Linked DNA regions of Saccharomyces cerevisiae S288C. The gene in region 2 interacts genetically with the main gene of each other region. Each region holds a gene or a part of one and is shown on either strand. Other genes may lie near its edges.

Region 1 (4,463 bases), on a different chromosome or scaffold from region 2:
AAGCGGAAGCGGAAGTGGAAGTACTGCTGGCCATTTTTATTCAGGTTATTTGCGATTAGGTTGGGGTTTGTGTTTGATGGAGACCTCAGTAATTAACAGTACATTCTGAGAGCGGCAAACAGAATTCTGCCTTAAATTCAGATCGTTTATATACTTTTTTTTCACTTTTTACGCTCGAGACACCATAACCCAAAAATAGATCAAACTAGCCATTGTATTTTTCACCAATATGGCAATGTGATTTCCGCATTAGGCAATACTGTGAAAGACTCTATGCTACGTCAGTTCGGAGGCGTGTTTCGCAATCTTCGCGTTCCAGAACGCACCAACGCGTTGTTATTTGCGCAGCACAAGGGGGACGAGAGACATTCTGGCCAACGTGCATTCGACGGAAGTAAATTTCGGCTGGAGGCTAAGCGCTGCTTTACTGCAATTTGCATCATTACGGTGGCTCGCAGGGATAGATTGGGCGTACTGGTTTGTGGCAAAAACACCGCCTCCACGCTACCTTATTTGCCAGCCAACCGCATATTCAGGTTGCCAAAGGTACAGATCAGGAAAATGTTTCCCATTGGATGCGCAACTTTCCTTAGTAGGGAATATATAATCACTGCATTGCTGGTTTCGTACTGCCATCTTTGCGTTTAAAGTATAACCAAATTAATAAAGCGACTACGCCGCTATCCAAAACAGGCTCCTCCAGCTCCTTTAAGGAAACAAACGTCTTTTTTCTTTACTCTTATTTTTTGCACCGATTGCTAGAATACTTCTCCAATCTCTTCAAATGATGATACAAACATGTAGTCAGTAGAGATGTATCTGTCTTGATGCTCCATATGTCGTTACCCGGAAAACATCTTTCTTGTTCCTTTCGATACTTTTCCACGTTTTCAATTAACCGGAGCCATTGATAATTTCATTCACTCTTGAGAAGTTAGCGGCAATAGTAATCGGCGAAAGCTACCGTAAAGACAGTCACAAATTACCTACCACACAAGCAATGGGAGCCTACAAATATTTAGAAGAATTAGAAAGAAAGAAGCAATCTGATGTTTTGAGATTCTTGCAAAGAGTCAGGGTCTGGGAATACAGACAAAAAAATGTCATTCACAGAGCCGCTAGACCAACTAGACCAGACAAGGCTAGGAGACTAGGCTACAAAGCCAAGCAAGGTTTCGTTATCTACCGTGTCAGGGTTAGACGCGGTAACAGAAAGAGACCTGTTCCAAAGGGTGCTACTTACGGTAAGCCAACTAACCAAGGTGTCAATGAATTGAAATACCAAAGATCCTTGAGAGCTACCGCTGAAGAAAGAGTTGGCCGTCGTGCTGCTAACTTGAGAGTCTTGAACTCCTACTGGGTCAACCAAGACTCTACTTACAAGTACTTCGAAGTTATATTGGTTGATCCTCAACACAAGGCTATCAGAAGAGATGCTCGGTACAACTGGATCTGCAATCCCGTCCATAAGCATCGTGAAGCTAGAGGCTTGACTGCCACCGGTAAGAAATCCAGGGGTATCAACAAGGGACACAAATTCAACAACACCAAGGCCGGCAGAAGAAAGACCTGGAAAAGACAAAATACTCTGTCGTTATGGAGGTATAGAAAATGAAATAGTTAGAACCGTATATAGATCAATAATAATGCACTATGAACATTTTTTCAACCTGATTACTTCATCGTTCCTTTTCTTCGACTTATTTTTTTTTTATTATTCTTCGCTCTTTGGCAGCATACGCAATTTGAATTTGCAGTTTTTGACTCTTTTTTCCTTAGCGGAACGAACAATATTAATCATGCCAACTAAGTCATTGCAGAAGTCAACTTATCATTTATAAAGAAGATCCTACCCTACAATGTGTGTACCCTGATGTGCCCAGAAATGAATTGACTCCTCTCATAACTTGTTAATATTCGGATGTGCATATCACGTTCGGATCTATGTATATAAATGTACGCTCGTTTTAACCTTTAGTGTAGTACCTAAAATCTTTCTTACCAGCAACTAATAGCCCTTGAAGTAGTTTTGCTAGCTTGGACATCAAAGCACATATCACCATCAAATATGGCCAATTACACAAAAACCGCAATCCTATCCGTCTATGACAAGACAGGTCTACTTGATTTAGCCAGAGGCCTCATCGAGAAGAACGTTCGTATTCTCGCCTCCGGTGGTACTGCTCGTATGATTCGTGACGCTGGTTTTCCAATCGAAGACGTTTCTGCTATCACACATGCCCCAGAAATGTTGGGAGGTAGAGTGAAAACTTTACATCCTGCCGTTCATGGTGGTATCCTTGCTAGGGACATCGATAGCGATGAGAAAGACTTGAAGGAACAGCACATTGAAAAAGTCGATTATGTCGTTTGTAACCTATACCCATTCAAAGAAACTGTTGCTAAGGTGGGTGTGACTATTCCAGAAGCAGTAGAAGAAATTGATATTGGTGGTGTTACTCTATTAAGAGCAGCTGCTAAGAACCATGCTAGAGTCACTATTTTATCTGATCCAAAGGACTACTCCGAATTTTTAAGTGAATTATCCAGTAATGGTGAAATCTCTCAAGATTTGAGAAACAGATTGGCATTAAAGGCTTTCGAACACACTGCCGATTATGATGCTGCAATTTCAGATTTCTTCAGGAAACAATACTCTGAAGGTCAAGCTCAAATTACTCTACGTTATGGTGCCAATCCACACCAAAAGCCGGCTCAAGCTTACGTCAGTCAACAAGACAGTTTACCTTTCAAAGTCCTATGTGGTTCACCAGGTTACATTAATTTGTTGGATGCTCTAAATTCCTGGCCCCTGGTTAAGGAATTATCCGCCTCGTTGAATTTACCAGCAGCAGCATCGTTCAAGCATGTATCACCAGCTGGTGCCGCTGTGGGTATCCCATTGTCTGATGTTGAAAAGCAAGTTTATTTTGTTGCCGACATTGAAAACTTATCTCCCCTGGCATGTGCCTATGCTAGGGCCCGTGGTGCTGATAGAATGTCTTCCTTTGGTGATTGGATTGCTCTTTCCAACATAGTTGATGTTCCAACAGCTAAGATCATATCTAGAGAAGTTTCTGATGGTGTTATTGCCCCAGGTTATGAGCCTGAGGCGTTGGCCATTCTATCCAAGAAGAAGGGAGGTAAGTACTGCATATTACAAATTGATCCAAACTATGTTCCAGAAGCTGTCGAAAGAAGACAAGTATACGGTGTGACTTTGGAACAAAAGAGAAACGATGCCATAATCAATCAATCAACTTTCAAAGAAATTGTTTCTCAAAATAAAAATCTCACTGAACAAGCCATAATTGATTTAACGGTTGCCACCATTGCTATTAAATATACTCAATCTAATTCCGTATGTTATGCTAGAAATGGTATGGTTGTCGGATTGGGTGCAGGTCAACAATCTAGAATCCATTGTACAAGATTAGCTGGTGATAAGGCTGATAATTGGTGGTTCAGACAACACCCTAGAGTTTTGGAGATTAAATGGGCTAAAGGCGTCAAGAGACCAGAAAAATCTAATGCTATCGATTTATTCGTAACCGGCCAAATTCCAACAGAAGAACCAGAATTGTCTGAATACCAATCGAAGTTCGAGGAGATTCCAAAACCATTTACTCCAGAAGAAAGAAAGGAATGGTTGAGTAAATTAACCAACGTTTCTTTGTCATCGGATGCATTTTTCCCATTCCCAGACAATGTTTACAGAGCAGTTAAATCCGGTGTCAAATACATTGCCGCTCCATCTGGTTCTGTCATGGACAAGGTTGTATTTTCAGCTGCCGATTCATTCGATTTGGTTTACGTAGAGAACCCAATCCGTTTGTTCCACCATTAGATGGCATGAGTTCAGAGTCAATATGCCATAAATACAGAAATGACGGCAAATCGATGTATAGTTTATTCTTTCCTCCTCTAATGATATAATCGCCACTGACACTTTTATATATATACTAATGATACGATATGTTATAAGTACAATTTTAATTCGAACATTTCCCAAAGAAAAAAAACTTGATTTATTATTATGATGTTTATATGTGCAACACAGAAAGCTCTAGCTATAGTAATTAATGCTAGAGCTCCCAAACGAAAAACCTCTTTTAGATACCATGCAAAAGTTCTTAAACTATTATTTACTATCTGAAACAGGATGAACCTTACAGTACCCATGAACTTTACTCCTACAACATACGCAAGTGCTGAACCCACGTAAACCCAAAGAAATTCTGCAATCCTCGCAAATGGCAAAACATCGGCAGGGCCATAATACTGTATTTCTTTCATTGACTTTGCATACCGCGCAAGATAGATCAAAATCACTTTCTGTACCAAAAGTCTCATCTACTTCACTTAACTTTGTATCTAAGATAGACGCCCTTGTCAAAGTTTTATCTGACAGTAATTTTTGTTGAAGGATACGGCTAGTTGACATGATCCAATTATAATCAGTA
Region 2 (3,019 bases):
TCAACAAAGAAAAGAGGCAACAAGTCCAAAAAATCCAGCAAAAAGATTCAAATCGTCAGTAAAGACGGCAGGAAAGTTCCAATTTATAACGCATTTATTAATAAAGACCTTTTGAACGTATCGTGGTTACAAAATGCTACTATGCCTTACTTCAAGAACTTGCAGTGGAGAGAAATCCCTAATGAATATACCGTCGAAATTTCCCTAAATTGGAATAATAAAAATAAGTCCGCCGATCGCGATCTACACGGTAAAGATCTTGCCTCAGCCACCAACTACGTGGAAGGTAATGCAAGAGTCACCTCTGGAGATAACTTCAAGCATGTTGATGACGCTATAAAGAGCTGGGAAAGAGAATTGACTTCTTTGGAACAAGAACAGGCCAAGCCCCCACAGGCCAATGAACTATTAACAGAAACATTTGGTGATAAGCTAGAATCAAGCACCGTCGCAAGGATTAGTGGGAAAAAAACAAATTTAAAAGGTTCCAATCTCAAGACTGCTACGACAACCGGGACGGTAACAGTAATTCTGTCGCAAGCACTACAATCAAATGATCATTCACTGTTGGAAACAGTGCTCAATAATCGTGACGAGAGGGTCATTAGGGATACTATCTTCCGTCTGAAACCAGCACTGGCTGTCATTCTCTTAGAAAGGTTGGCAGAGAGGATTGCAAGACAAACCCACCGTCAAGGCCCATTGAATGTTTGGGTAAAATGGTGTTTAATCATACACGGTGGCTATTTGGTTTCTATTCCAAATTTGATGTCTACTCTATCGTCGTTACATTCCACCTTGAAAAGGCGTTCCGACTTATTACCAAGGCTACTAGCACTGGATGCAAGGTTAGACTGTACTATAAATAAATTCAAAACTTTGAACTATGAAGCAGGCGACATCCACTCATCCGAACCAGTTGTCGAAGAGGACGAAGACGACGTTGAATATAACGAAGAACTCGATGATGCCGGCCTTATAGAGGACGGTGAAGAATCTTATGGCAGTGAAGAAGAAGAAGAAGGTGATAGTGACAACGAAGAGGAACAGAAGCATACCTCATCTAAGCAAGATGGCCGTTTAGAAACGGAGCAGAGCGACGGCGAGGAGGAAGCCGGATATAGTGACGTTGAGATGGAATAGAGGATATCATGCATAAAATGCTTTCACGCATCAGAATACAAAAATAATCTCTAGGCACATAAATACTTATATAGAGTTCACCACATAATGTAAGAAAAGAAAAAAGAAAAAAAAAGATCACGAAAGTATCCCACGCGAAGAAGATCTGTCAAAAGACCCCCACAATCGTTTATCCTTTTTGAACTGCATCTGGCATCGTTAACAGTAAGGCCATCTGGAACATCAAGCAAGCACTCCACTTTTACGTCACAACCATAGTTGGTTAACTAAGAAAAGACAGTACATATTTCCCTTCCGAGTCACTTATTTTTTTTTTCTTCTGAAAAAATTAATTAGATTAATTTCAATTAATATCATTTCCGCTTATCTGACTTCTTTCATTTTTTTTCTCTATATTTCGCGTTTACTAGGAAAGAAAAGGAAAAAAAATTTTTCCCCCTCCATCTGTCCCAAATCGGGTAGCGATGAGCTGCTATAGAATTTTCTATTTAAACATGTTTGATAAGCCCAATTTCCGTTAGATTTTGTTCCCCCTTCGCAGTTTGGTTTGCCGTAACTTTTTTATTTTAGTCTCCATCTAGCTGGAGTAATACGATGTAGTGCCTTGTAATCTTTCTTATTTTTATATTACCGTTCGTGTTCATTATATCCATTACGTTCCCATAATGTCGGCAAACGATAAGCAATACATCTCGTACAACAACGTACATCAACTATGTCAAGTATCCGCTGAGAGAATTAAGAATTTCAAGCCGGACTTAATCATTGCCATTGGTGGTGGTGGTTTCATTCCTGCTAGGATCCTACGTACGTTCCTAAAGGAGCCCGGCGTGCCAACCATCAGAATTTTTGCTATTATTTTGTCTTTGTACGAAGATTTGAACAGTGTAGGCTCAGAAGTTGAGGAAGTTGGTGTTAAGGTTAGCAGAACACAATGGATTGATTACGAGCAATGTAAATTAGATCTAGTCGGCAAGAACGTTCTTATCGTTGACGAAGTCGATGACACCCGTACCACACTTCATTACGCTTTGAGTGAATTGGAAAAGGATGCAGCTGAACAGGCAAAGGCTAAAGGTATCGATACTGAAAAGTCTCCAGAGATGAAAACAAACTTCGGGATTTTTGTTCTACACGATAAGCAAAAACCAAAGAAAGCAGATTTGCCTGCCGAAATGTTGAATGACAAGAACCGTTATTTTGCAGCTAAAACTGTTCCAGACAAGTGGTATGCATATCCATGGGAATCTACTGACATTGTTTTCCATACTAGAATGGCTATTGAACAGGGCAATGACATCTTTATTCCTGAGCAGGAACACAAGCAATGATAGACATATCATATCCTTCAGTAACTTGAATCATACAGCAGAATTTGTACAATAGACAACGCATATAACTGCGACCATATGTATACGTATAACTAATTATTATCTCAAAGTTTATTCCCTTAGCCTCACCGGTAACCTGTGAGGCGCGATTACGTTTTCCCTCTGTTCACCACCACGTAACGCGATATTTGACACATACGTGACAACTACTTTTGATGGAATCTGCTGATTTTTTTACCTCACGAAACTTATTAAAACAGATAATTTCCCTCATCTGCAAGGTTGGGGAAGGGTTGGACAGCAATAACCAGCGACTGTTTGAAGAAAAGATGACTGTTAGTAAAATACCCATATGGCTAGATTGTGATCCTGGTCATGATGATGCCATAGCCATTTTATTAGGCTGTTTCCATCCAGCTTTCAATCTTCTAGGAATCAGCACGTGTTTTGGTAACGCACCGCCAGAGAATACTGACTACAACGCCCGTTCTCTTTTGACTGCGATGGGCAAAGCACAAGCGATTCCAGTTTATAAAGGCGCACAG
Region 3 (3,562 bases), on a different chromosome or scaffold from region 2:
AATGTCCCTGGAATGTACACTGTCGCTTTATCCGCTCAAGCTTTGTGGGCACCTTTGGCTAAAATACCAAGAGTAGTCTGGACAATGGCAGGTAATGCTGCCACTTTAGGTATTTCCATCCCTGCTACCTATTACTTTGACGGCTTTATGGAGAATTTTATGGATTCCATTGGTTATTATTTGGCTATTTATATTGCCATTGCATGTTCAGAGCATTTTATTTATAGGCGTTCCTTCAGTGCTTACAATATTGATGATTGGGATAATTGGGAGCATCTACCTATCGGTATCGCAGGTACTGCTGCCTTAATTGCTGGTGCCTTTGGAGTAGCGTTGGGTATGTGCCAAACTTATTGGGTTGGTGAGATCAGTCGTTTGATCGGAGAGTACGGCGGTGACATTGGGTTCGAGTTAGGCGGAAGTTGGGCGTTCATCATCTATAACATTGTAAGACCTTTAGAACTCAAATATTTCGGTCGATGACTAAATGTTAATTGATTAATATTTTTGCTAATCATTGAAATGATTGGTTTTAATGGATAAATCTCGACATTCGAATAGATAGCATATAATTCAAAAACGATTATAATGGGATATATATATAAGTTTAATAATATTAACTCCCTTCCCATTTCTTGAAGAGAAGAGATGTGTTAACTCCTCCAAATCCGAAGCTGTTGCATAATGCGTACTTCGGATTAGCTCCCACAATAGGTTTGTCTCTTATGAAATGTAGCTTATCGGCCTCGTTATTTTCTAGAGTCAGAACATTGTCCAGGTTTAAGGTATGCGGCATCTTATCATCCTTCAAGGAACAAATTGTAAATATACTTTCTACGGCGCCAGCTGCACCTAAAAGATGGCCAATTGCACCTTTGTTACTGGATATGTACAGTGGCTTGCTTTTGGATCTTCCTGGTAAGAGTGCTGAGGCTACTGCCAGACACTCTGCTTTATCGCCTAGTAAAGTTGATGTAGCATGTGCATTGACGTAGTCAACATCAGTTGGTTCTAATCTAGCCATTTTTAGAGCCATCTCTATTGCTCTTTTGGCACCATTTCCATCAGCAGGAGGGGAGGTAATATGGCAGGCATCACTGCTTAAACCATAGCCCACGAGCTCAGAAATTATGTTTGCATTTCTCTTTTGAGCATGTTCTAGCGATTCCATGACAATCATTCCGCATCCTTCACCAAGTACGAATCCAGAACGTTGTGTATCAAAGGGTCTAGAGATCCCGTTTGTAGTAATCGACTTTGCTCTGATGAAACCTGCTAAACTTAACGGATGCAAACTCGTTTCACTTGCACCGGCGACACAGATGTCTTGCATGCCTAACCGAATAAAATTGAATGCATCGCCAATGGAGTTATTACCTGTTGCGCATGCTGTGGAAACACTATGGGATAATCCTCTAAGGTTAAACTTGATGGAAACATTACCAGCTGCCATATTTGTAAGGATTTTAGGGACGAAATATGGATTTATTCTTTTATTGTCGTTATGGAATTGTAGAGAAGTTTGGTATATGTCTTGAATGGATCCTATACCAGAACCTATCAGGCAACCAAAGTGATCCAGATTGCACAGAGATGTATTGATGGTTATATCATTTGGGTTCAAGAGACCAGCATTGTGAAGCGCTTCATAAGTTGTACGTAGTGCTAGCTTGATAAAGCTTGAGGTTCTTCTCTCATCCTGGCTAGTGAACAGCAGTTTATTGATGGCTGAATTTTCGTTTTGAAAATTCTCTGGAATCTTCCCCACTGTTATCGTTGATGGGATACTTTTTTCTCTGAGTTTGTAGTCCTCATTATAGTTGGGCAAAGATGTGATTGGTGTGAGTCCATTTTTGGAAGAGAGCAGATTCCCCCATGACTCACTTAATGATCTTCCCAACGGCGTTACACAGCCCAATCCTGTGATAACCACTCTTCTTGACATTTCTTTACTAGAAATTAAATTTTAATCCGTTGTGGCTCCTGTCACTTTCAAGTTGCTAATAACCTGATAACGTTTAAGGATTTTACTTCCTTTTTTATCATTTATTTTTCTGAGATGAGACAGAGTCAGAAATAATAGCACACTATATGTTTTAAAAAAAAAAATCTATCTACGTATTTATTTAATCAATAAGATGTGATTTTATAAATGTGTCGTTTTTTAGCATCATTACTTGTTTTGTGGCGAATATAGAATAGGACTGTATCTGAGAATTATTACTCAAATATGTTCGATTTTAGAGGATTACCATTTCAACAGATCGTCCTTAGCATATAAGTAGTCGTCAAAAATGAATTCAACTTCGTCTGTTTCGGCATTGTAGCCGCCAACTCTGATGGATTCGTGGTTTTTGACAATGATGTCACAGCCTTTTTCCTTTAGGAAGTCCAAGTCGAAAGTAGTGGCAATACCAATGATCTTACAACCGGCGGCTTTTCCGGCGGCAATACCTGCTGGAGCGTCTTCAAATACTACTACCTTAGATTTGGAAGGGTCTTGCTCATTGATCGGATATCCTAAGCCATTCCTGCCCTTCAGATATGGTTCTGGATGAGGCTTACCCTGTTTGACATCATTAGCGGTAATGAAGTACTTTGGTCTCCTGATTCCCAGATGCTCGAACCATTTTTGTGCCATATCACGGGTACCGGAAGTTGCCACAGCCCATTTCTCTTTTGGTAGAGCGTTCAAAGCGTTGCACAGCTTAACTGCACCTGGGACTTCAATGGATTTTTCACCGTACTTGACCGGAATTTCAGCTTCTAATTTGTTAACATACTCTTCATTGGCAAAGTCTGGAGCGAACTTAGCAATGGCATCAAACGTTCTCCAACCATGCGAGACTTGGATAACGTGTTCAGCATCGAAATAAGGTTTGTCCTTACCGAAATCCCTCCAGAATGCAGCAATGGCTGGTTGAGAGATGATAATGGTACCGTCGACGTCGAACAAAGCGGCGTTAACTTTCAAAGATAGAGGTTTAGTAGTCAATCCCATTCCGAATATTGTTTTTATTGTTTTATGTTTTTCCACTGATCTGGTAAACACTAGCTGGTTGGCGCTATTAATATGAAAAGAGTTAGACCAAATTGAGTAGAAAAGAAACCTTTGGCAATCCTAACTATGTTGTTTTAGCTTGTGTATTTAAGCGCATATATATATATTTCTGAAAATGACAACATCAAAAGAAACGAACTTATTTAGAATAAAAAGAAACGACTTGGCTTCTTATTATTCCTACTTTACGTCACGTGGGAGGCCCGTTTAGGGGGGCAGCTATGTAGTTTTTCCGAGCGTACTTTCTTTCAGCATCCGAAAAGTCCTCACTTGACGGCTTACACGGAAACGCCGCGGATTGTGGGGCACAGATGATGACGCAGACGGAACACTGCAGAAATCTTTTTACCTTGTCGTTAAAGACGATATTAGAGAGAAGAGTTTGGCTGGGGACAAAGTGCCAGCTTTTCGTTCAGGGCGAGGTGCCAAAATACTTGAGAAGGCCAAACCCCAAAGGACAGGGCCAAATACGTACGCTACGGTAATATCTAATGGGAGAGG

What was found. A genetic interaction does not mean that the proteins touch.
Region 1: mutations in HPT1 (region 2) and ADE17 together harm fitness more than expected from each alone (negative genetic interaction), as found in Saccharomyces cerevisiae (3 studies listed by BioGRID).
Region 3: mutations in HPT1 (region 2) and CEM1 together harm fitness more than expected from each alone (negative genetic interaction), as found in Saccharomyces cerevisiae (2 studies listed by BioGRID).

What each region holds. Positions count from the first base shown.
Region 1 is NC_001145.3:506,886-511,348, reverse strand, and holds ADE17 (bifunctional phosphoribosylaminoimidazolecarboxamide formyltransferase/IMP cyclohydrolase ADE17), read left to right. Parts: upstream 1-2,068; coding exon 2,069-3,847; downstream 3,848-4,463. Other genes in the region: NCW1 (Ncw1p), read right to left, coding at 1-34; YMR122C (uncharacterized protein), read left to right, coding at 274-648; 60S ribosomal protein eL15 RPL15B, read left to right, coding at 1,001-1,615; putative ubiquitin-protein ligase ASI1, read right to left, coding at 4,142-4,463. UniProt on the Saccharomyces cerevisiae protein: Bifunctional enzyme that catalyzes the last two steps of purine biosynthesis.
Region 2 is NC_001136.10:1,268,260-1,271,278, forward strand, and holds HPT1 (hypoxanthine phosphoribosyltransferase), read left to right. Parts: upstream 1-1,808; coding exon 1,809-2,474; downstream 2,475-3,019. Other genes in the region: UTP5 (Utp5p), read left to right, coding at 1-1,143; URH1 (trifunctional uridine nucleosidase/nicotinamide riboside hydrolase/nicotinic acid riboside hydrolase), read left to right, coding at 2,804-3,019. UniProt on the Saccharomyces cerevisiae protein: Converts guanine to guanosine monophosphate, and hypoxanthine to inosine monophosphate. Transfers the 5-phosphoribosyl group from 5-phosphoribosylpyrophosphate onto the purine.
Region 3 is NC_001137.3:277,682-281,243, forward strand, and holds CEM1 (fatty acid synthase CEM1), read right to left. Parts: upstream 1,946-3,562; coding exon 617-1,945; downstream 1-616. Other genes in the region: FCY22 (purine-cytosine permease), read left to right, coding at 1-483; glycerol-1-phosphatase GPP2, read right to left, coding at 2,249-3,001. UniProt on the Saccharomyces cerevisiae protein: Possibly involved in the synthesis of a specialized molecule, probably related to a fatty acid, which is essential for mitochondrial respiration. Is essential for oxygen uptake and the presence of cytochromes A and B.